3 linked regions of the Oryzias latipes genome follow. The protein of the gene in region 2 purifies or fractionates together with the protein of the main gene of each other region. This does not show direct contact. Links are inferred from orthologs where the notes say so. Each region holds a gene or a part of one and is shown on either strand. Other genes may lie near its edges. The genes, in order: cdc37, pdik1l and hsp90ab1.

Evidence for each region.
Region 1: the proteins of pdik1l (region 2) and cdc37 purify together in Homo sapiens (affinity purification with mass spectrometry; 3 studies listed by BioGRID and IntAct, counting the BioPlex papers as one, with this or other methods). This does not show direct contact. The link is inferred for Oryzias latipes from reciprocal best matches to the Homo sapiens genes PDIK1L and CDC37.
Region 3: the proteins of pdik1l (region 2) and hsp90ab1 purify together in Homo sapiens (affinity purification with mass spectrometry; 3 studies listed by BioGRID and IntAct, counting the BioPlex papers as one, with this or other methods). This does not show direct contact. The link is inferred for Oryzias latipes from reciprocal best matches to the Homo sapiens genes PDIK1L and HSP90AB1.

Annotation. Positions count from the first base shown.
Region 1 is NC_019866.2:8,381,610-8,389,083, forward strand, and holds cdc37 (hsp90 co-chaperone Cdc37), read right to left. Parts: upstream 4,257-7,474; 5' UTR 4,098-4,256; intron 4,017-4,097; 5' UTR 4,016-4,016; coding exon 3,908-4,015; intron 3,718-3,907; coding exon 3,442-3,717; intron 3,285-3,441; coding exon 3,179-3,284; intron 3,093-3,178; coding exon 2,977-3,092; intron 2,837-2,976; coding exon 2,714-2,836; intron 2,466-2,713; coding exon 2,283-2,465; intron 2,201-2,282; coding exon 2,129-2,200; intron 2,030-2,128; coding exon 1,904-2,029; 3' UTR 1,137-1,903; downstream 1-1,136. Other genes in the region: cmc4 (cx9C motif-containing protein 4), read right to left, coding at 5,317-5,459, 5,539-5,596; hemicentin-1, read right to left, coding at 6,402-6,409, 6,509-6,763, 6,854-7,186, 7,262-7,474. UniProt on the Homo sapiens protein: Co-chaperone that binds to numerous kinases and promotes their interaction with the Hsp90 complex, resulting in stabilization and promotion of their activity. Inhibits HSP90AA1 ATPase activity.
Region 2 is NC_019869.2:17,961,268-17,967,579, reverse strand, and holds the end of pdik1l (serine/threonine-protein kinase PDIK1L), read right to left. Parts: exon of another isoform or gene 6,100-6,312; intron 6,013-6,099; 5' UTR 6,002-6,012; coding exon 5,717-6,001; intron 4,006-5,716; coding exon 3,265-4,005; 3' UTR 2,628-3,264; downstream 1-2,627.
Region 3 is NC_019882.2:5,880,128-5,887,454, reverse strand, and holds hsp90ab1 (heat shock protein HSP 90-beta), read right to left. Parts: upstream 4,111-7,327; coding exon 3,961-4,110; intron 3,880-3,960; coding exon 3,673-3,879; intron 3,570-3,672; coding exon 3,410-3,569; intron 3,322-3,409; coding exon 3,188-3,321; intron 3,107-3,187; coding exon 2,804-3,106; intron 2,734-2,803; coding exon 2,568-2,733; intron 2,488-2,567; coding exon 2,297-2,487; intron 2,108-2,296; coding exon 1,960-2,107; intron 1,881-1,959; coding exon 1,612-1,880; intron 1,525-1,611; exon of another isoform or gene 1,498-1,524; intron 1,248-1,497; coding exon 914-1,247; intron 839-913; coding exon 720-838; 3' UTR 334-719; downstream 1-333. Other genes in the region: RNA-binding protein 25-like, read left to right, coding at 6,867-6,945. UniProt on the Homo sapiens protein: Molecular chaperone that promotes the maturation, structural maintenance and proper regulation of specific target proteins involved for instance in cell cycle control and signal transduction. Undergoes a functional cycle linked to its ATPase activity.

The sequences.
Region 1 (7,474 bases), on a different chromosome or scaffold from region 2:
CACTTCAGATTTTCACTTTCACGGTCCAAAATCATGATTTATAGGTATATTGATAACTTTGCTTAATTGTTCCTACATGTGAGGCTCTGCAATGGACGCAACCGGCTAGGCATGTACCCCACCTTCACCCAAGAAAAGCTGGGATAGGCTCCAGCATCCTTGTGCTCCCAAAAGTAGATTCAGCAAGTTCGTAAGATGGATGCGGACATTTAGAATTCTAAAATCTTGGCTTAAACCTATTCAGTGTTAAGATCTGCCTAAAAAGTTGAAAAAAACTACATACAAAGATCTGGCAGCTAGAGCTGCCACATAAACTAAAAAAATTGTACCCTTAGACTCAACATCGAGGAGAGAAAAAAAACATTAATAACAAACTGTTGCAAAAAAAACTAGTTACTGATGTAATTGGATGATTACTAAATGTGAAACAAAATACAGCATTAAAAAAAGTGTAAACAGAACAAAAACATCCAGTATTGCCTAAATGGAAATTTAATGTGCTCGTTTATATCAATCCATTTAATCTAGATTACCTAATATGCATGTAAATGGTAAATGTGGTTTAACCCTGGCACCATGTTTGGATCAAATCTGACTCAATGTTTAGTATGAATGTGGTTTCTAAAATGACTCATTTTTGCATCATCATCCTGTCAAATAAGAAAGTGCTTTTATTTTGTAGCGTTACTTTTAAAATGTGAGCAATGTCTGTCAATATTTAATGTCAAATATGAAAAAGAATATTCTTCTTGACAATAATCATGATTGAACTGCATTTTTGAGGAAGATATGGTTTTTCTTTTTGAAAAAACACACAATTCCCCTTTTCCACTGGCTCTAGTACAGATAATTCGATTTTCAACATCTCATGTGATACCAGAAAATAATAAAAAGAAGCTAAAGACACCTACAAAGGAAAAAATATGTTCTTTTGGTTGTCTATTTATAATCTAATACCATAACTATGCATTGTTATAAAGTGAAAGGCTCCTGGGACAGAAGCTATATTCTTGCAGCATGGGACCAGAAAAAACAGTCATCATTCATTTTTAACATATTTAGATTATTCATTCTTTCAGGCACACATTTTCAAATATTCATAGTTCTATCCTTACATTAAAAAACTACAATGGTTCAGTTTTCAAGTTTTTTTTTTTATTTTTCTATGAGAAAAATTGCAGTATTGAAAGCAGTTTTCCCTCAGTTCTTCACTTAAAAATGTAAGCCATGACATGCAAATGTCAAAGTACTCCTGCCTTGGAAGAATAAGCACAGTAAGTTTACATCATCTCACAAAGGCGACTAGTTGGTCTTTTCCATCTTTAGATTACCACTGAGTAAGAAGCCAAAGCTAAATCTTTGGGTTCATTTAGGATAAACAGAACCGAACATGATCAACTGTCGTTGGCCTGGAGTTGACAGCAGTAACCCTTACTATTTTTCTTAGAAACCTCATTTACCAGCTGTTCTATAAAGCTCATCAATCAAGCAGTTTGAATGATTATTTGAGCACAAGTCAATGTTTTTGTTGTCCTGAATAATGTAAAAGACCCGGAGGAAAGAAAAAAAAAAAATCAAAACATTGGAACTTAACGGTGAATGTTGTACAAATGTCACATAAAATATCTGTTGCAAAAAAATGTGACAATGTTAGACTTAAGCTTGCAACTATGCACCAATACCAACAAAGCATAACAAATGAAGGAAAAACATTCAGCTCAGGCGATGCAGAAACACAGTTTGTTTTTGTTGTTTCAAATATGTGACTTATTACACATTTATAATTCAAATTTGTACTCAAAAAGTTTAAAGAAATGATGGTGTTTATTGGCAAGCTGTTTTACATTAAATGAGACTGGGGTACAGTAAGTGAATACAATTGCAAACAACAAATCCATTGTGATCACTCCTTTGTTTCTTCCGGCTCCCGTTTCACCTCTTCATAGGTCCCTTCTTCCTCCTTTCCTTCCCCAGAGTTGGGGACCCACAGACCTGAGTCAATGCAACGCTTCATATGATGTTTTGCCTCCTAAAAGACACGACAGTCACATGTTAACAGGGATTTCTTAAAAAAAAAAAAAGCACCTAAATCCAAAAAGATTCAACCAGACAAAACTGTATAGCTTACAGTTGGATCCATTTTACTGATGACTTCTTGTAACATTTGGATGTCCTTCTCATCAAAGCATTTCTGCATTTCCTGTGGTTGAAGGCAAACTATGTGAGCATTTCAAACTCAATAGAGACAAAAAATGAAACCCTGCTTGTTAGAATGCACTTACAGCAGGCAGCGACTCATACACTTCAACTGGATCCAGGCCTCCAGGCCCCAACCGCTTCTGCCGCTCCTCTTCCTCGTATTCTTTCAGGGCCTTTTCTATGCGAATCTTTGCTCTTCCTCTCACCCGTTCTTTAAACGCCTCAAGCTCGTCGTTAAAAGCATCTTGGTATTGCTGATCTGCGGTCTGTAAGAAAACAAATGAACAAATGTGAACATTCCAAACCAGAAGTATAAAATTTTACAGAAACTTCTGGTAAAAAAAAAAGGACTTTTAAAATAATCTGTTTTAGTCCAGGAATAACAGACAGACTGCCTTTGATTTTTGTACTGCTTGTTTATGAAAGCACCCTTTCTTTTCCTGCCCAAACATCTTCTTTAAAATGAATAAGTTCAGAGCAATTAAACACAATAAAATTAAATAAACTTGCTTACTTTAATCTTTGCAAAAAACTGACGGAAGCAACCGCGGGGATCCACTTTGAGGCTTTTTGCCAACTCAAGAATGAACTGCATGACAATGGTCTGATGGGCCACCTGCTCCATCAGTGCGTGTTTCTGCAAATAGGAAAGCAAAGCTTTACTAAGAAATGAAAAACCTAAACAGCTGCAAACAGGAGCACACACTTTGAGGAGAAGATATGCTAAAAAACAAAGATACAAGAATATAAAATAAAAATATAAGTATATGTGTTTACCTCCTCAACTTCCAGATCAATGCACATGATGACGAGATAGTTAGCGGTTTCTTCACATACAAGATGAGGATTGTCAGAGAGATACTTTTGGCTGTCGTCCCATCGTCGCAACATCCCTGTAAGTTAATAAAAATAGACTTAAATTGTTTTTAAAGAAGGGAAAAGACAACAGAATGACCTTATGGAAGTTACTCAGGCTTACCGAAATGTTTAATCTGCTTCTCGTGTTTTTCAACAAATGTTTTGTGTTTTTTCTCCTTTTCTTCTTCCGTATCTTCCGAAGTTTCAGGTTTTATGTTCACTATGCTCTATAAGCGAGAACAAAGATCAAGATTTGACACCATCTAGCATTGATTTGAAATAACTACTTTGTTTATAAAATGTCAACGGACTAATGTGAGCTTCATTGGATTTTCCAACCTCTTGCTAGAAAACCACAGGTTTCTATCTGCATATAGAAGTCACCTTGCTGAACCCTTCCTTGCTGAGTGTGTCCACGTTCCACGGCATCTTCTTCTCCTCCCTGTAGTACTCATCCAGCTTTTTCTCCCAGTCCCGCTCCTCTTTTTTCAGCTTCTTCTCATCGGCTTGGTATTTGGTGAGCTCTGTTTTGACACCATCGGAAAGGTTCAGGTCCTGGATCTTTGTCTGTAACTCCGTGAGTTTACGCCGACATTCGGCGAGTCCTTTTTTTAGGTCTTCGCCTTTCTTCTGGAATTCTTCCATTCGCTCCACGCGCGCCTAAGGAACAGATCACACGCGTGAACATCATGTGTAAACAATTTCAAATACTCATCAGCTCTTGTCCAGTTTGAGTTCAAATTCAGGAATCCGAAGTAAGTAGGAAAATTAGCATGGCTGAAGAATTACAAGCAGAAAGTGAAAGCTAACGATCACGCTAAGCACTTTTCCGAAAAGCTTTTATATTTACCTGGTGTCTCCATCTGAAGAGACTGGGAGTGTCAATATTTGGGTGGGTATCATCTTCATCATCCGATACCTCAATGTGATCCCACACGCTGTAATCTATCCTGGACATCCTGCAGCAAGAAGAAGCAGCGCTAGCTTCGACTAGAACTCGGTTAAGTTGGCGTCTAAATCACGCTCGCTAAAATACCGACCTAAGAAATATTCACACTCGAACCCTTCAGAAATGTGTGTTGGTGCTCTGTGTTTCTGTACTCCAAATTTGGTCGTGCGAATTGATTTGTTACTCCCAAGCAAGAGCTAACGGGAAGCTGCTACAGAGTTCTAGAAGAAATTCTCCCCAAAGCTTCCGTTTACGTCATACGTAAGGCGCGTACATTGTACGTCGTAATTTAGACACCGGAAACAATGACCAAAAACGGAAAATATTTGGTTTTCATAGTTTTAATCTGAAAGACTGTGATGCTTTCTTTTGTATAAACATGTTGTTATTTATGGCTAAATTTGATATTCATAAAAGCAAATTCTCCTATAAAAAACTGATTTATTTGTGTTAAAACTGGAACTGCAGCAATATTTAAACTTAATTTCAGCTTCAAAAAACACAAAAGCTCAAAAAACAATTAACATTTGTAAATCTTTTGGAATAATAACACAAGTTTACTCTCGCATTTTCTCTTTTTATTTTATCATTTTTTTTCTATGTTTAGTTCTATTTTCTTTATTTATTTTAATTTTTTATTCCCTTTTGTGATTGTTAGAAATAATTAGAATCTTCTTAAGCATGTAACACGTTTATTCTGTATTCAGAATTGTAATGTACATTATCTGTGCATAATTGTTGCATTTCTTTGTTCTGTATGTTGCAATTGTTCAATAAAAATTAAAGAAAAGGGAAATTATATTTAAATATAAAAAAGAAAGAAAAGCACCATGACCCGAATGATTACATTTTTCAAGGCGAATTAAGAATAAATTAGAATGCTGATCTGAACACATATTAGAAGATTATTATTTTTACATATAAGATTTAGAAAATGTACCTACGTAATATGGTAAACTAAGAGTATGATATTCATTTGCTTACTGCTATTTTTCGTTCTTGATATAAATGGCCAGATATGATTTTTATATAGTTATGTTTCAGATATAGATGTGTGCTCCAGACTGATAGATGATAATTTAGTTTGTCCGTTCCCAAGAAGGAAAAGTTCAAGTTCTAAGAAAGGAAAACAAGATCAGTTTGTGAATGTTTTCCTTTTTTCTTCATCGCCGGTGTTGCGATCATAACCTGTGACAACACGTTTGAATAAAATAGCTAGAAAATGTTCAATCTAACAGAGAAAAGAAGATGAACTAGACAATTTTATATACTTTTTATTTCCATTGAATGCAAGTCATCAGCAGGTGGTGTCAGCTATTTTTGCTCGGTTTGAAGTTTGTCAGTTTGGAGTCTTTGAAACCTGAGCAGCAGACGGAGTTTCCAGTTTGCGCTGCACAGCACCGCTGCATCTCTCGGATCACATCCTCGCATTTACTTTCCACATACTTGTTAGCTGTGAGATGAGAACAAAAAGTTCACAAATTTGTTTGAGATTTGCATTAGAAGAGCACAACAACAACGTCAATGTGTACCTTGTAAACACGTTTGAATGGCACATGCTTGCTTTTGACACGGATCTTTCTGTGGCATATCTAAAGGAAAACATGTGAGAATGAAAACAATGATATGAATAAAACATGGGCAGAATCTTAAACTTTACTTATTGGATAAAGATTGGGGGCATGGTTTTAAAGTTAGACATACCAGTAATATTTGATACGCAGATCGACCTACTACTGCTGGGAACCCAACCACTTCCGTTTTCAAGGGATTGTTTTGATCACGTGTCATGCTGTTAGCCAATTACATTTAGACATCTGCTCAACAGCGACATCGTGTGGGCAATGAAATACATGCATTTAGGCTTTTGTTGGTATTTTAACAATTTTTAAAAATCAATCTGGTCATACCAGATATTTGAACTTTATACTTTATTTTGAAAAAAACGCAGAAGTGCAAATAAAATGTCCATACTTTTTTGATGTTTTGCTTTTATTGATAAAGATAAGAAAATTAACAAACAGTTCATATGTACAATGGCAACCACTGAAATATTGTCATTGAGTCTTTTTTTATTTGCAATGATTATATTTTGTTAGTCAAGAAAACATATAGTCAAGACATAAACCAGATCAAGAAAATCACATACAGTTGGACACAAACAAACAAAAGATAATTACAATTCTAAAAAATGTATCTAACACATTAAAAAATGAAATTTCCAAAGACCTTTTTTTAATGTGGTCTTGTCTGTGAAATCTAACTTTACATAAATATCCACCGAATCATAAATGTTGCATCATTTCCGTGTTGAAAACAACAGTAAAATCTGCTAAGAGCAATGCTCTCTGCATGCCGGATGTAGTCTTCTGACCCTGAAGCAAGGTAGCTTGTCTTAGATACCTGAGCAAAAAAAAAAAACAAAAAAAAAAGTGGACATCAGAACTTTGTGTGAAAATGTGTGACTCATTTCAAAATTTCAAATAATAAATGTCTTTTTACCTTTGGTTTTTGCTTTGACAAGGAACTGCTTGCTTTTCTGATCCAGTAGATTGGAGGCTGTGCAGGTGTAGGTCCCTGGGAGAAGTGAAGAAGAAGTAACAACAGCTTCATCCATCATCTTCTCCTGCATGGGATGCAAGGATTGCCACGTGTAAACAGGTGCAGGGTTTCCTGTGGCTGTGCAGTTTAGGGTGATTTCGTTACCCATAGTTAAGTTCAAAACTTCTGTTTCAGGGCTCAGGATTGTTGGAGGAACTAGAGGGAAAAAGAAGATCAGGAATCAGTCTTTAATAAGTCAAATTTGAGGAGACGTGCTTTAGGAAGATGCAGGGGTTCATAACTCACAGTACACAGATGCAATGAGAGGCTCTGAGGTCACAGAAGGAGGTGGCTGTGGCCCCTCAGGTCCGAGCTCCAGCTCTGCCACACACTTATACTCTGCTTCATTTTCGCTTTGAGTTGGAGTGATTACGAGGGTGGACGAGACTTGGACGGGCGAGGAAGACGTTAGGTCAACAAATGAGTGTGTATAAACCTCTGTCTGCCCTCTGTACCACCTCAGGGTGAGATATTGAACAGGAGCAATATTCTGAACTTCGCAGAGCAGCTCATACTCTTTCCCTTCCACCATGGGGCCACTGTGGTTCACCTGCCTGATGGAGACTCTGTCTGGAGTTTCTGCATTAACACAGAGATCCTGTCAGGCAAACAGGTCAGTTTATTAACATTTATTTGAAGCGAGGTGGAACTTACTATAGAGAACCAGGTTGAGTTTCTCCTCACACTGTCGTGGAGCTGTGAAAAACACCCCATAGCATATAGGCTCCTCAATCCAATCTATTAGGCTGTCAACCTTCCACTGGACAGAGCGGTCTTCTTGTGTGTATGAGGCACCGATGACGGATTCCCAGCCCAGCACACGAACCGGTCGTGTGGCTTCACAGCTGACTGACACTGATTCCCCAA
Region 2 (6,312 bases):
TGTGACTAACAGTATTCTGTCCCCTTTGCCTTCAAATTTAAAATGGTTTTTTTCAAGTAGTTTTTTAATAACCACGGCTGTAGTTTGGGTTTGTTTGTTTGTTTTAGGGACCAAATATATTTGAACATTCTGAATAAATTCTCATTCACCCAAATTTCATCCCGCATTTGGTGAGAGTTGGTCATTCTTTTACCTACTACTAAGGCATTTGAAAAATAAACATGAAGGGGTGACTGAAACCAAGATCCTGGTCTCGTCTTCATCGTTTCCTGCTGCCAGTCATAGTAAACAGGAAATTGTGACTGTTCCTTTAGATCCCACCAGGACCGTGGAACTTGCAGTTGAACGAACAACGGATCAGACTGATACATTTGTGCCCGATCACTCCATTGATTTAATCATATTCAGACAGAATAATCCTGCATAATCGCGTGGTGGTTAGCATTCTCGCCTCACAGCAAAAAGGTCCTGGTTCTTCTTCTGGCATGTTCTCCAGAAACTCCGGCTTACTCGCACAATCCAAAAACATGCTTCATGGGTGGCTCTATCTTGCCCCTCAGCGCCCATGTAAGTGTGGCCATGCAAAGTGTTGAGGGTGTACCCCACATTCACATAACAGTAGCTGGGTTGGCTACTTTGCTTTCAAACTGATTTATAAAATAAGGATAAATCTTTACCTAAAAGATTGTATTCTGTTTCAGAGATTTGACTCGTCTTTTCAAAGGCTGTCAGAACTTTAAAAAAAAAAAAAACCTAAAGAGAGCTGGTGTTCCAGGAGCTGAACCCACAACTTACATTCATAGGTAAGCGAGCTGTGATCATCTCATCTGTGGAAACATCCATCCATCGGGGGGGAGGAAGCAGCAGAGGACTGAAACCGAGGAGCCACAGGTCTGCAGGTAGACAACACCTGAGGCTGAGGACGAAGCAGCACACACTCAAGTTTCACTTCTTTATTAGAAATCCATCAACTCAGCGGGAACCGACAGGTGTGGAAGGGGGAGGAGCAGAGCTTCAGGTGTTTTTAATCCTTCTTTTTGTTTTGGAACTGATACAGCATACAAAACGTTGGCATGGTTTCAAAGCAAAATTATTTATTGCAAAATACAGATTTTAGAGGAAAAAAAGTGCTGATCACCACACCTGTGAGTACGGCATGACAGAGGAGCCGGATTCATAAAGTCAACCCAAAATAAGATGAAAAAAATCAATCAAGGAAATAAAATCTGAAAGAATCTTTCTTTCCAATCTTCAGACCCCCCCCCCCCCCCCCCCGATTACATCGGATTACCTGGGTGAAGCGTTTTCACTTGGAACACACCTGATCCAGGTAACCAGCAGGGAAACAACTACCTTTTGATTTATTTGAGGTAATACTTTTTTATGTTTATTTTCCCCCCCCATGCACTTCTAAACTGCTCCTGATAACAGAACAGATTTTGACACCAAACCTGTCAGGGGGGGGCTTCTTAAAAGGAACATATGTGGGGAGGGTCGGTTTACAAATCAGACTGCAACTGAAGCAAATTCCAGTAAAAATTCAATAGAACCAAAATAAATCAGAGATTCAGTCAATTCCTTCTTTCTAAATAATCATTTTTGGTCCTTCTGTCACTCCATGACTCAAAAATCAGAACAAGCAAACATCACTTTAGAGCCCCCCCCCCCCCCCCCCCGCCAATTCTGAACCTGTTCCTTACATGAACAAAAAGTGCAACAACAGCAAACCAGAGCGCCGAAGACTTCTCCCTCCTTTTCTGAAGGACACGCAGAAGACATCTGACCCCCCCCCCCCCCCCCCCCCCCCCCAGCTCCCCCCTCCCACGCAGACGTGGTCAGAGGCTGGACTTTCCTGAAGAACTTCACATGTTTTTGTTGAAGGAAAATGCTGAATCAGTTGAAAAGTAAAGCAAACTGAGCCTTTTTCAGTGTCAAACAATGAGACTCTAAAAACAGAGCCGGTCATATGCAACCCCCCACCCCCACCCCCCACCCCACCCCCACCCACCTCTTTACAGTATCTACACATGTGCAAACAAACAATACAAGAAATCTGAGGGTGTCATCTTCAGAAACACAGCTGGAAACAGAAAGTTTCTGCCTAAAAGAGCCAGAGGAGGGAATGTGATGAGACACAATTCCATCCTCATCCTCTGCACTAAGGGCTTACAAACGACCCAATCCAAGTCCCAACTTTGCTGCTTCAAGGCTCGACTTTCCCCTCCTCCCGGCGCTCCATCACGTCTGTGCGATCATGGAAAAGTCCCAACAAAAAGGGTTCTGGTAGCACGTGTGAGAACTGAAACCTATGTGGCTCAGGGCCAGGTGGTCAGTTATCCTTCATGGAGGTTTTCATAGCCTGAGGATCCACAATGGACAGAAGCTTGCACGCAAGAAAACTAACTAAATTCCCCGCCCTGTCAGGTCAATCACCCGCCATTTCTGTCAAAAATTCCCTTCATTCAGGCTCCCATGTTTTCAGCAGCAGCAGAGGACTGAACCTGTGCGGTCCGGCTCGGAAGACCTGGCAAAAGAAATGTGAATCTTCTATCTCAGAGGGAGACCACAGTGAAAACTGACCTTCCCCCATTGTCCCCAAGTTGAAAAAATAAAGCTGTGAGCGGCTGTGACCTTCAACAGAACACTGAAATTCTTTAATTCTGCTATCAGGTGGAGTCATGTTCCGGTTTCTCTAAACTCTCTGTGAACCAGAACCCTCTGAGGTGTTATAAGCAGCTCTGCCCTGTTTAAAAACTAGAGGTGACAGAGTTAGGAGCAGCAACCAATCCACGCCTCACAGAGGCACTGGCGAGCACAGAATGACTGCACTGGAGAGAAGGAAGGTGGGAGGAGCAAACCGGACGGGCGATCAAAAGAACCTTTGTCCGGTCAGAGCAGCTGCATGGTTTCCTGAGCGTTCAGGGCTCCTTCTAGGCCTCAGGTCTGCCTGAAGACCGGACACAGCCCACCGGGGGGGGGGGGGGGGGGTCAAGGGTGTGTCGCCGATGCAGACGGATGATCACAGGAGCACGTCTCATAAAAACGTATTGCATTTAGAAACGTTTAGCACCGAAGTCAAAATGCAGCTGCTTTTGGATCAGCTGGAAGGGGGTGGAGTCACTGGAGAGCCCCTCCCCCTTCCAGGCACAAGAAGTTCAAACCCCTTAAAACTGATGCCTGCACTAGTTATTCTGCAAAAATACACACAACTTTATGATCTAGAGGGGGAGAAGAAGCTCATGAGCTGGGAGGGCGGTCCCCGCCTCACATGTCCCAGTCCAGCTCCCTGCAGGCGATCCGGATCAGTCTGAGCTCCAGCTCCACGGCGTCGGGCCGCTCCTGCGGGTTGGCTGAAAGCATCTCCCGCAGAAGCTGCTTCATGCGGCTGTTCATGCTCTTCTTTCGGGCAGGAATAGGCAGCTCCATCTTGGGGTTCTCCAGGAGGGCCTCCCCCAAGGGGACGATCTCTGAGCCCTGCTGCACATAGCTGCCCAGCAGCTCCTTCTGAGTCTCCACATCTACAAAGGTGATCCGCTCTACCATGGCCCAGATGATCACTCCTAGGGCGAAGATGTCCGCCTTGGCCGTGTAGTGGCCCTCCCAGACCTCGGGGGCCATGTAGAAGTCCGTCCCACAGGCCGTGGACAGGAAGCATTTGTTGACGCTGGCCGGCTCTTCTGGGTTGAGCCCGGAGGCGGAGCAGACTTTGCTCAGCCCGAAGTCGGCCACTTTGAGGGTGGGCTCGGGCGACCCGGCGGGGGTGCAGGCCTGCGAGATGAGGATGTTGTCTGGTTTGAGGTCACGGTGGATGATCTGGTTGCGATGCAGGAAGGCTAAGGCGCTGCCCAGCTGCAGCATGAAGCTGGTGTTGGTTTTGCGGCTGGGCTTGCGGGACAGCAGGTAGGCGTTCATGTCACCCCCGTCACAGAAGTCCATGACAAACCAGAGGTAGGAGGCACAGCAGGGGTCAAAGGTGATCTCTCCCTTCAGAGACGTCTCCACCAGCTGCAGCACAAACAGAGGACGACACACGTTAAGAGTCGGATGCCGTTCTAGTTTCTATGGAAACACTGCACAGAGGTCACAGAGTCTGAATAAACACTGACCCTTATAAGTTCCAATCAGACCAGAGACTGGGAATGTTTCTGAACTGTGACAGAGGTTAGAAACAGAAATACCTATGGATTCCACTGCTTTCATTTGGATTTATCAACATTCCCCTTAAAAACCAGGTTAGACACGCTTTTTGGGTGAAACATTTATCACTAAATGATAAAACTTCACACTGAAAACCAAGATAAAAACCTCTTTTTGCCTGAAAAAGATTTTTAAGTAAAAATCTTTAACTGTCTCTCGGATTGTTTTCTGCATGAGATGCAAAGAGAAAGACATCCAATCACATGCTGGCTTCTGTCAACTCAGCTCAGTCAGGCAAACGCGCCGTGCCCAACGCTTAAACTGCACTGCAGGATCTATGGACCTTAAGTGATAAAAGAGGAAACACGGACTCCGGTTTTAAAGCACAGAGTGACGGAAAGACACTACTACTACTACGGTTCAGTCAATTGCTCTGAATAAATAAACAAAACTTTTTATGTTTAGCAGTAAAATGTTCTTTACATTTTATTAAATGTTTTACAAAGCATCAGAAATGTTTCAGAAGGGTTTTTGACGAGCAGGGATCTGTGACGGCCATTCTTCTGCCGCGCGTTAAAACATCGCTCACTGAAAAGCTGACCCAGACTTCGCAAAATGTCTGCCTTACCACTGCATCATTCATCAGCAGACGTCATGTGCAAAAGTGATGGGCTTTGGGCACGGGATGACTCCCATTGTGAAAATCATAAACAACATTTTCTCTGTGGATTTACTCAGTGGCTCAGTCTTAAAGCAATCAAGGCACCCTTCATTAATCAGCTTTGGTATGCAAAGCTTGCATCAGGCACATGAAACAAACCTGACTTTTCACATAAAAAGTCGACACAGTGATGAAACAGAGGGGGGGAAAATAGAAACAGGTAAAAGTTCTACTTCTGCTAGCTGCTACTCCTAAGAGTGCACTAGAGGATAACTCCACCCATTCAAATGCAACAACCAAAGGACATTTCACAGAGTAAAAGTACAGTATTTAGAAAAGATTTTGCCTGTGAGCTCAACATTTGACTCCACAAACAAACTGGTACATCTTCAAAAAAAAAAAAAAAACAGCCTCTTTTAGACCCCAAAATCTCCACAATGCCTAATAAACAAAAATTCACTTTGCATAACGACGTGGCTTCAGAGCAGGAGAAAGCTCCAGACGGACAAAGGGTTCAAAACTCAAAAGAGCGCCCGTCATTGTTCCTGGGAGAGCCCCGACGTGGCACAAGAACATTCTGGGAGAATGTCCAACACTGGCAAAGCAGGGTCTGAATGAACAAAAACAAAAGTCCTCTATCAGGCCTGGGAGTGCAGCAGGGAGGCCCGCCACTACCACCTGTGGAACATTCATGGACCTGCGGGCCAACAACAACTAGGATACCGCTACAAACCCCTACCCTTTTTCATCTGATCCTCTTTTTAAATCAGACAGATCCACAAACGATGCCATCTCCACTGTTATATCCAGGTGAGATCTACAGAAACTGAGTCCATGGGACTGTCTTGGATTCAGATTCTTGCTAGCCTTAAAAAAAACACCTATTCCTGAAAACACTCAGGGTTGTTGCACCCTCACCTCCAGGTAGAGTGGGGAGCTGGAGCCATGGCTCATCCTCTGGGCCAGCTGGTCCCGCTGCAGGATGCACTCCTCCAGGTGGATGACGTTTGGGTGCTGGCTCTGGATGCTGCTCAGGGCCCAGAACTCCCGCAAGGCCAGCTCCACATTTTCTGGAGAGTGGCAGCGGATCTTCTTCACCGCCACCCGGGCCCTGGTGCGCTTCACCACCGCCTCATAGACCACGCCGTAACTGCCACGCCCCACCTCCTGGATCAGCTCGTACTTCGGCTGGCTGCTTACCATCCTAGTCTTCGCTGTGGGAAGAAAAAAAACAACAACAACGTTAGTCTCGCATGGTTTGACTGGTCGATTCTGCAAGACTCGCCCGGTAGCTGATGTACTTTCCACATGAGATCAAGGGACTTGACATACGTCAAGAGCCAGATGTGCGACTGACATCAAACACCTGTCACTATGTGCCGACAGGCTTCGATCAAGCAGGGAGGAGCCTAAGAACAATGACCAGTGGAAAAACCCCATATAGGTGTGCTTGAAGCAAAGGAACATGGGAGACATATAGAGGGGAAACATCTGGCCATCAGCAGACATGCTGC
Region 3 (7,327 bases), on a different chromosome or scaffold from region 2:
GTTCCCCAGATTCATATTAAAGTAGAATCCTCAGTTTCTTATGAACAACATTTGGTTGTTGGTTCTTTGTTGATTTTTAGCCTTCTGCCAGCAGATGGCACTGTCCTCTACAGTAAAGGATGTTTGCATCCTTTTAAACCTTAGATTTCCCTAATACTGCAGAAATGCAAAGACGACTTGAAGTAAAGATTCTAACAATTCTTGCCAAATTTAATGACTACAAAAGTAAACACTGACAGTTTTATGCAGCATTTTTAAACTCCAGTCGAATGGTTGCATATGAAAGGGCTCCACCTTGTGGCCAATCAGAAGTATTGAGTGCAAAAACAGACATTAGGGACAATATTCTTTATTTTTGCAAAAACAAAACTGAACACAGACAAACCTGACCTCAGGCAAAGGAATCTTACAGTCCTCTCTCCATGCAGCGCTGCACATGAAGAGAACCCCCCCCAAACATTTGGAATGGAATGCATCATTCCCCAACTTGCACATCAACCGAACAAGTAAACCACAGTGCAACAGGGGAGTTTAAAATGAGTCGTCACCATGAACATTGCAAGCAGAAACAAACCTACTTTCAAACAAGGTTTTTCAGTGTGAGGATCTCTTACCGAGAGCGTCACAACAGGAATGCCTACTTGATTTTTTAGTTACAGAATTTATAATAGATGGATTTCTGGGAAAGTGAGGCTTAAAAGTGTGAAGTTTGGGGAAGTTTAGTCGACCTCTTCCATGCGTGACGAATCGTCGTCAGCATCTCCTTCCAGGGGTGGCATCTCTTCTGGGGCAGATGTGGAGGCGGGCTCCTCTGTGGGGATGTCGTCATCGTCGATACCTGGAGACAAGACCTCCAATTATTGACATGAACCTTTTAAAACAAAGATATTTATAGTCTGGAGTGTTTTCGTACCCAAACCAAGTTTGATCATTCTGTAGATGCGGTTGGAGTGGGTCTGAGGGTCGTCCAGGGAGAAGCCAGAGGACAGCAGAGCAGTTTCGAACAGCAGGATGACGAGGTCCTTCACAGCTTTGTCGTTTTTGTCGGTCTCAGCCTTCTGCCGGAGGGTCTCCATGATGGGATGGTCGGGGTTGATCTCTAAATGCTTCTTGGCCATCATGTAACCCATGGTGGAGTTATCCCTGAGAGCCTGGGCCTTCATGATCCTCTCCATGTTTGCCGTCCAGCCGTAAGTGCTCGTCACAATGCAGCAGGGGGACGATACCAGTCTGTTGGAGACAGTCACCTGTAGAAGGCATGAAGGTAAGCATCGGTTTGAGAAAACCGACCACTGGAATGCAATACACGCATGCGGTTCAGGCCGTTTGTGTGATGCTGATTTCATCGAGTGTTAGACACAGCCTCAAAAGACAAACATTGTTAGAACTCACGTCGCTGTCAGACTTATCAGGCTCTTGCAAAACCAAACCCTTTCAACTCAAATATCAGGCAACGCTAGAAACTCTACAGGCCACTTCTACTCTGTATGAACTCACCAATATAAGTAGTTACCACTAGGAAACCTGTTTCCAAACAAAACACCACTGAAGTTAAGGAAATGATGGTGAAGAAATGAGGAGCAAAAGCACAGTTTCTTATTTGAGACCAACCTTCTCTACTTTCTTGTCCAGAATCTCTTTCATGAGCTTGCAGAGGTTCTCAAACTTGGCCTTGTCATCCTCCATCTTCTTCTTTTCCTCCTCATCCTCTGGCAGCTCCAAGCCCTCTTTGGTGACAGAAACCAGGTTCTTGCCATCAAACTCCTTCAGCTGCTGAACACAGTACTCGTCGATGGGCTCGGTCATGTACAGGACCTCGAAGCCACGCTTGCGGACGCGCTCCACGAAAGCAGAGTTGGCAACCTGGTCCTTGCTTTCACCTTCAGAGGCAAAAAACAAAAACTTAAGTCGTGCCAAAAGAATCAACAAAAGAACATATGGACTGGAAGCCAAACCTACCAGTGATGTAGTAAATGGATTTCTGGTTCTCCTTCATGCGAGAAAGGTACTCTGTGAGGGAAGTCATTTCATCTCCAGACTGGGAGCTGTGGTAGCGCAGCAGCTCAGACAGCTTCTTACGGTTCTGAGAATCCTCATGGATGCCGAGCTGTGAACATAAAAGTTGTGATCGATTTACTCAACTAAATTCTGGGTAATGCAGCAAGCGTTGCCCAATTCCAAGGCTTCACGCTAAATATGTGTCGATTTATTTTCACACCTTAAAAGTTTACAGGAAAAAAAAAATCCATCAGTTTATAGGCATCATTTAGAAAAGCTTCAGATATGTTTGAGATACCTTGATGTTCTTTGAGAAACCTTCATAGAATTTCTTGTAGTTTTCTTTGTCTTCTGCCAGCTCTCCGAACAGCTCCAGGCACTTCTTGACAATGTTTTTGCGGATTACTTTCAAGATCTTGCTCTGCTGCAGCATTTCTCTTGAAATGTTGAGGGGCAGGTCTTCAGAGTCCACCACTCCACGGATGAAGTCTGTTGTAAACAAACAAAAACGTTTTAAAGCTGCTGTGCATTTCCTTTCAGATCCGGTGGAACAGAGATTTAAAACTTACTCAGGTACTCTGGGATGAGCTCTTCACAGTTGTCCATGATGAAGACTCTCCTGACGTACAGCTTGATGTTGTTCTTCTTCTTCTTGTTCTCAAAGAGGTCAAAAGGTGCACGACGAGGAACAAAGAGCAGAGCCCTGAATTCCAGCTGACCTTCCACTGAAAAGTGCTAAAAGAGAAACACACGTCAGCACGAGGTTCCATCAGCCGATCAGAAGACACCCAAACCTCTATTTTACCTTCACAGCGAGGTGATCCTCCCAGTCGTTTGTGAGGCTCTTGTAGAACTCGCCGTACTCCTCACTCGTGATGTCATCAGGGTTTCTGGTCCAGATGGGCTTGGTCTTATTCAGCTCTTCCTGGTCAATGTACTTCTCCTTGATCTTCTTCTTCTTCTTGCCCTTGTCTTTAGCGTCTTCTTCATCATCTGAGCCCACATCCTCAATCTTTGGCTTGTCCTCACCTTCCTCCTTGGTCTCCTTCTCTTCTTTTTCCTCCTCTGCCTCATCATCACTGATCTCCTTGTCACGTTCTTTCTCCACCTATAGATAAACCACGTACAACTCCACATAAGCTTCTATTAGTGAGAAATATGTTTGTAAAAAAACAAACAAATCACTTACAAAGAGGGTGATGGGGTAGCCGATGAACTGAGAATGCTTCTTCACGATCTCTTTGACCCTCTTCTCCTCAATGTACTCCGTTTGGTCTTCTTTAAGGTGCAGGATGATCTTTGTTCCACGGCCAATGGGCTCGCCTGAGAACAGTGTTGTAGAGGTTAACAAATGTTTCACAGTCAGATTTTAGTTTGTTGCACCATAATTATAATATTTGAAGATCCATACCACTGTCGACCTTGACGGTAAAGGATCCCCCAGCAGAGGACTCCCAGGCGTACTGTTCATCGTCGTTGTGCTTGGTGATAACCACCACCCTCTCAGCGACGAGGTAGGCAGAGTAAAATCCCACACCGAACTGACCAATCATGGAGATGTCGGCTCCAGCCTGAAGAAAACGGCAAAGTTCCACAATTTGTATTCACTTCTGCTAAAAAAATATATAAATGTGTATATGTATTTTTCCCCTTTATGCCTGTTTATATTAATACCTGAAGGGCTTCCATGAAAGCCTTTGTCCCAGACTTTGCAATGGTACCCAGGTTGTTGATAAGGTCAGCCTTGGTCATGCCAATTCCAGTGTCAACAATGGTCAAGGTGCGGTCAGCCTTGTTGGGGATGATGTCGATTTTCAGATCCTTGCCGCTGTCCAGCTTGGAGGGATCAGTTAAGCTTTCATAGCGGATTTTGTCCAGAGCCTAAAAATAATTCAGCGTCAAGATATTTCACTGTATTGACACAGAGGTGATACGATGTTACGTAAACTGCTGCAGACTTACATCAGAGGCATTGGAGATCAGCTCCCTGAGGAAGATCTCTTTGTTGGAATAAAAGGTGTTGATGATCAGGGACATCAGCTGAGCAATCTCTGCCTGGAAGGCAAAGGTCTCAGCCTCCTCCTCTTGGTGCATTTCTTCAGGCATCTGCATAAGAAATAACAGGTTTGCAACAAACAGCGTCAGACTAATAATGGGATGAACCAACAGGAAACGCCAAAATAAAAGCACAACATCTTACAAATACGCAAAATACGGTAATAAACTGCCAATTATTTTACTAAGATTGTAGTTTTTAGTTTAATTTTTTTTAATGAATAATTTTAAACCATAAACTACCACAATTCAGAAACCGGTTCAGAGTCGGATCCCTGCCATCAGATTACAACATACGGGCGGAAGTGCAGCGAAACATGGCGGCGAGGCATGGACAATGGACGCTGCAAGCACGTGCCGACTAAAACCGAAAAAACCCGAAGCTTCCGTGAATATCAAGATCGAACGATTTTGGATTATCGCTCAGGAGCTTTACTGCAAAAAAATAGCCCCCAAAACTACCATCACCCCGAAAAACCACGAGCACTCCTGTGTCGGTTATGCAAGATGTACATGATGTACACACTCTGGGTGTAAGATTCTAAACTAGTAGTCCATCTAGAATCCTTCGTTGGCAAAATATACACAAAGACACGTCAATCGCTCGTTAAACTATGGTAATGTTATTCTTTAAACAGTCAGGTACAACCAACCTTCACAATAATAAATCTCCATACCTTCTGTCTGCCTACAAGATGCGGCAAAAGCCCACCACTTATTTTCGGTCACTAGTACAAGATTTAACCTAAAGCCCATTACTAATTAAGAATAGTAAACCCGCTATGTCAGAAATGCTTTTAATCGATGAATCAAGGTTAAACAAACCACGTGAATCGAAATCAAATAACAAAAAAACCCGTTAAATGACTCAACATTCGGTGTAGAATAATAATAAACCATTTAAAGTTTGGTTTCCCTCAATATGAAGTGAATTACCAAGACATACCTTGTTTCTTATGTTGGCTTTTCTTGAATAAAATGCAACAAAAGTGCTATCCCTGCCGCTCACTGACGCAGGAAAAAGAAAGGAGGATTCTGGAGCTGCACGCCGAATCTATATGCTCATGAGTTTCAGTGCAGGACAAGATCCCTCCGCGGCGCTCCTTCTCGAACTAACTGTGCTCCTCCAGAAAAATATGTAATTATTTATATCAACAGATAAAAAGTTATAGTGGAATAGCATGCACAATATTTTGATTGGCCAAGGAGGTAAAATCTAAACGTTATAAATTTATTATATTAAAAACAAAACTAAGAATAAAATCAATCGTATTTGATTTTTGCTGCCATCTAGCGGTTATTTAAGATACAGCAAAAACTACATCTACGAGCTTCCGTTTAGTAATTGTCTAAATTCTAAAAATGTGTCAAAATTTTGTTGAAAAAAAAAAGTATTTGTATAGAATCTCTATATCTGGATGTCAAAAATTAAAAGCACGCTGTATTTTTTACGGAATCAACGAACACTCTAGGTCTTTGTAATCACATGGAAGAATACCGAAGGGGAGTGCTTCGTTTCTTCTAGCACTTTCCATGAAAAACCCGCCTAAACATGACGTCACCGAGTTGTCACATGCTGACTTCGCATTCTATTGGTTGCCACAGAAATTACAACTGCCGCTCTGTACCTCATTTTGATCAATGACACCTTTATTTCTTTTTTTACTGTAAATAAATCAATATGACTGGTCAAAACTTTTTAAAAGGCTTGTTTTTTTACATTTATGAAAAATAAATATGCCAAATATTTTTTTAATAAAAACTTTTTTTAGTTATTGATTTATTTTACATATTTTAACATTGAAATCAAAATGACGGCACTTCCAATTGAACGTGGTTAAACAAAATGTAAATAAAACTATGTCAAATATCTAATTTTGTCATTGTTAATAGGCTTACGTTAAATAACACAAACATTTATGCAGAACAAATTGAAATTTCATTAGCATGTAGTAAAATTATAAAATGTAGAAAAATAGAAATTTTGGAATGATTAGTATCATTTTCCTATAAAAAAAGCTAATTTAAAATATTAACTACATGATCATTTACCATGCAAATAAATCAGATTCAGAGAGCCTTTGTAGTAAAAGACACATTTTTCACAACATAAACACTGGTGTACTGAGCAGAACTTTAGCCCCGTCCACGGGCAATGTCCCGACGCACAAAAGAAGTGCGGTTGTCCTTTGGTAAATAGTGCGCATGCGTGAGTGTTGATAACGCTCTCAGCTAGCTCGTGGGCTAGTTTAGTGCCATTAGAGACGTAAACGATTTTTCCCTTCAAAGATATTACCAATTTTACTGTTGGTTTTTACTAATTTTCACACGACCTAATTAAGGGTAAGAACATTGTAATGTATTAAATTTAGTCTATACTAATTATTTCAAAAAACAAAGTTAGCTTTGTTTGTTAGGTCACGTCAGCTATTGCAAACGTTAGCCTAACTGACTCTGTTTAGTGTCACCGGCTAGTGTAGCGTGTTCAATGTTAGCTTTAGCACGCCAAGCTGCTTGTTTTTGGTAACCGCGTTTTTATCTAAATTATTGACATATGAAAGTTTAAACATTATTTCACCAATATAGATGGTTTAGATAAACTTTATGCACTTAAGTTTAAATGAATCTATGCTCCAGTCCCTACCTTACCATCAATTTAATCATGTCTTCTCATCTACTAGCAAATAAGCTAATTTTGACATAAGTTTTAAGCCCTAAATGCTAGCAATTTGTTGGATTGATTTAGTTTTCAGTCTTACATAGACTGCTAATGGAGTTTATTTTGTTTACATTAGGTCACATTCACTCTCGGAATGTCCTTCCCTCCTCATTTAAACCGGTCGCTGTTGCCCCCTCCTGGTCTCCCCCCTCAGTATGCCGGCTTCCCTGCAGGTAAGAACCCTTTTATTCACTTAAACCTTCTAAACTTGTTTTTTTTTCGGGGTCACTTGTTTAAAAAATATCGACTAGAATGAAATTGAACTTTAATTTAGGTGTTTCATTTGTGCAATGAATTTATTTACCTTTAAGGCATCTTGTTGTAGTTTTATTTTAAAACAAAGTTTATTCTGTTAATAATCCTAACTATTTTAGAATGTAAGTAGACCAATGCACATTTGAAATAAAACTAAACTAAATCGATTTTGGAATATGAAATAAAGGATCAATATTTAATCAAATGCTGTCAAATTTATAACAGAAATTAATAATCCAGCCAGCCATCCAACCAACCAACCAACCAACAAATTTTATTTATTAATTTTTGTTTTTGTTT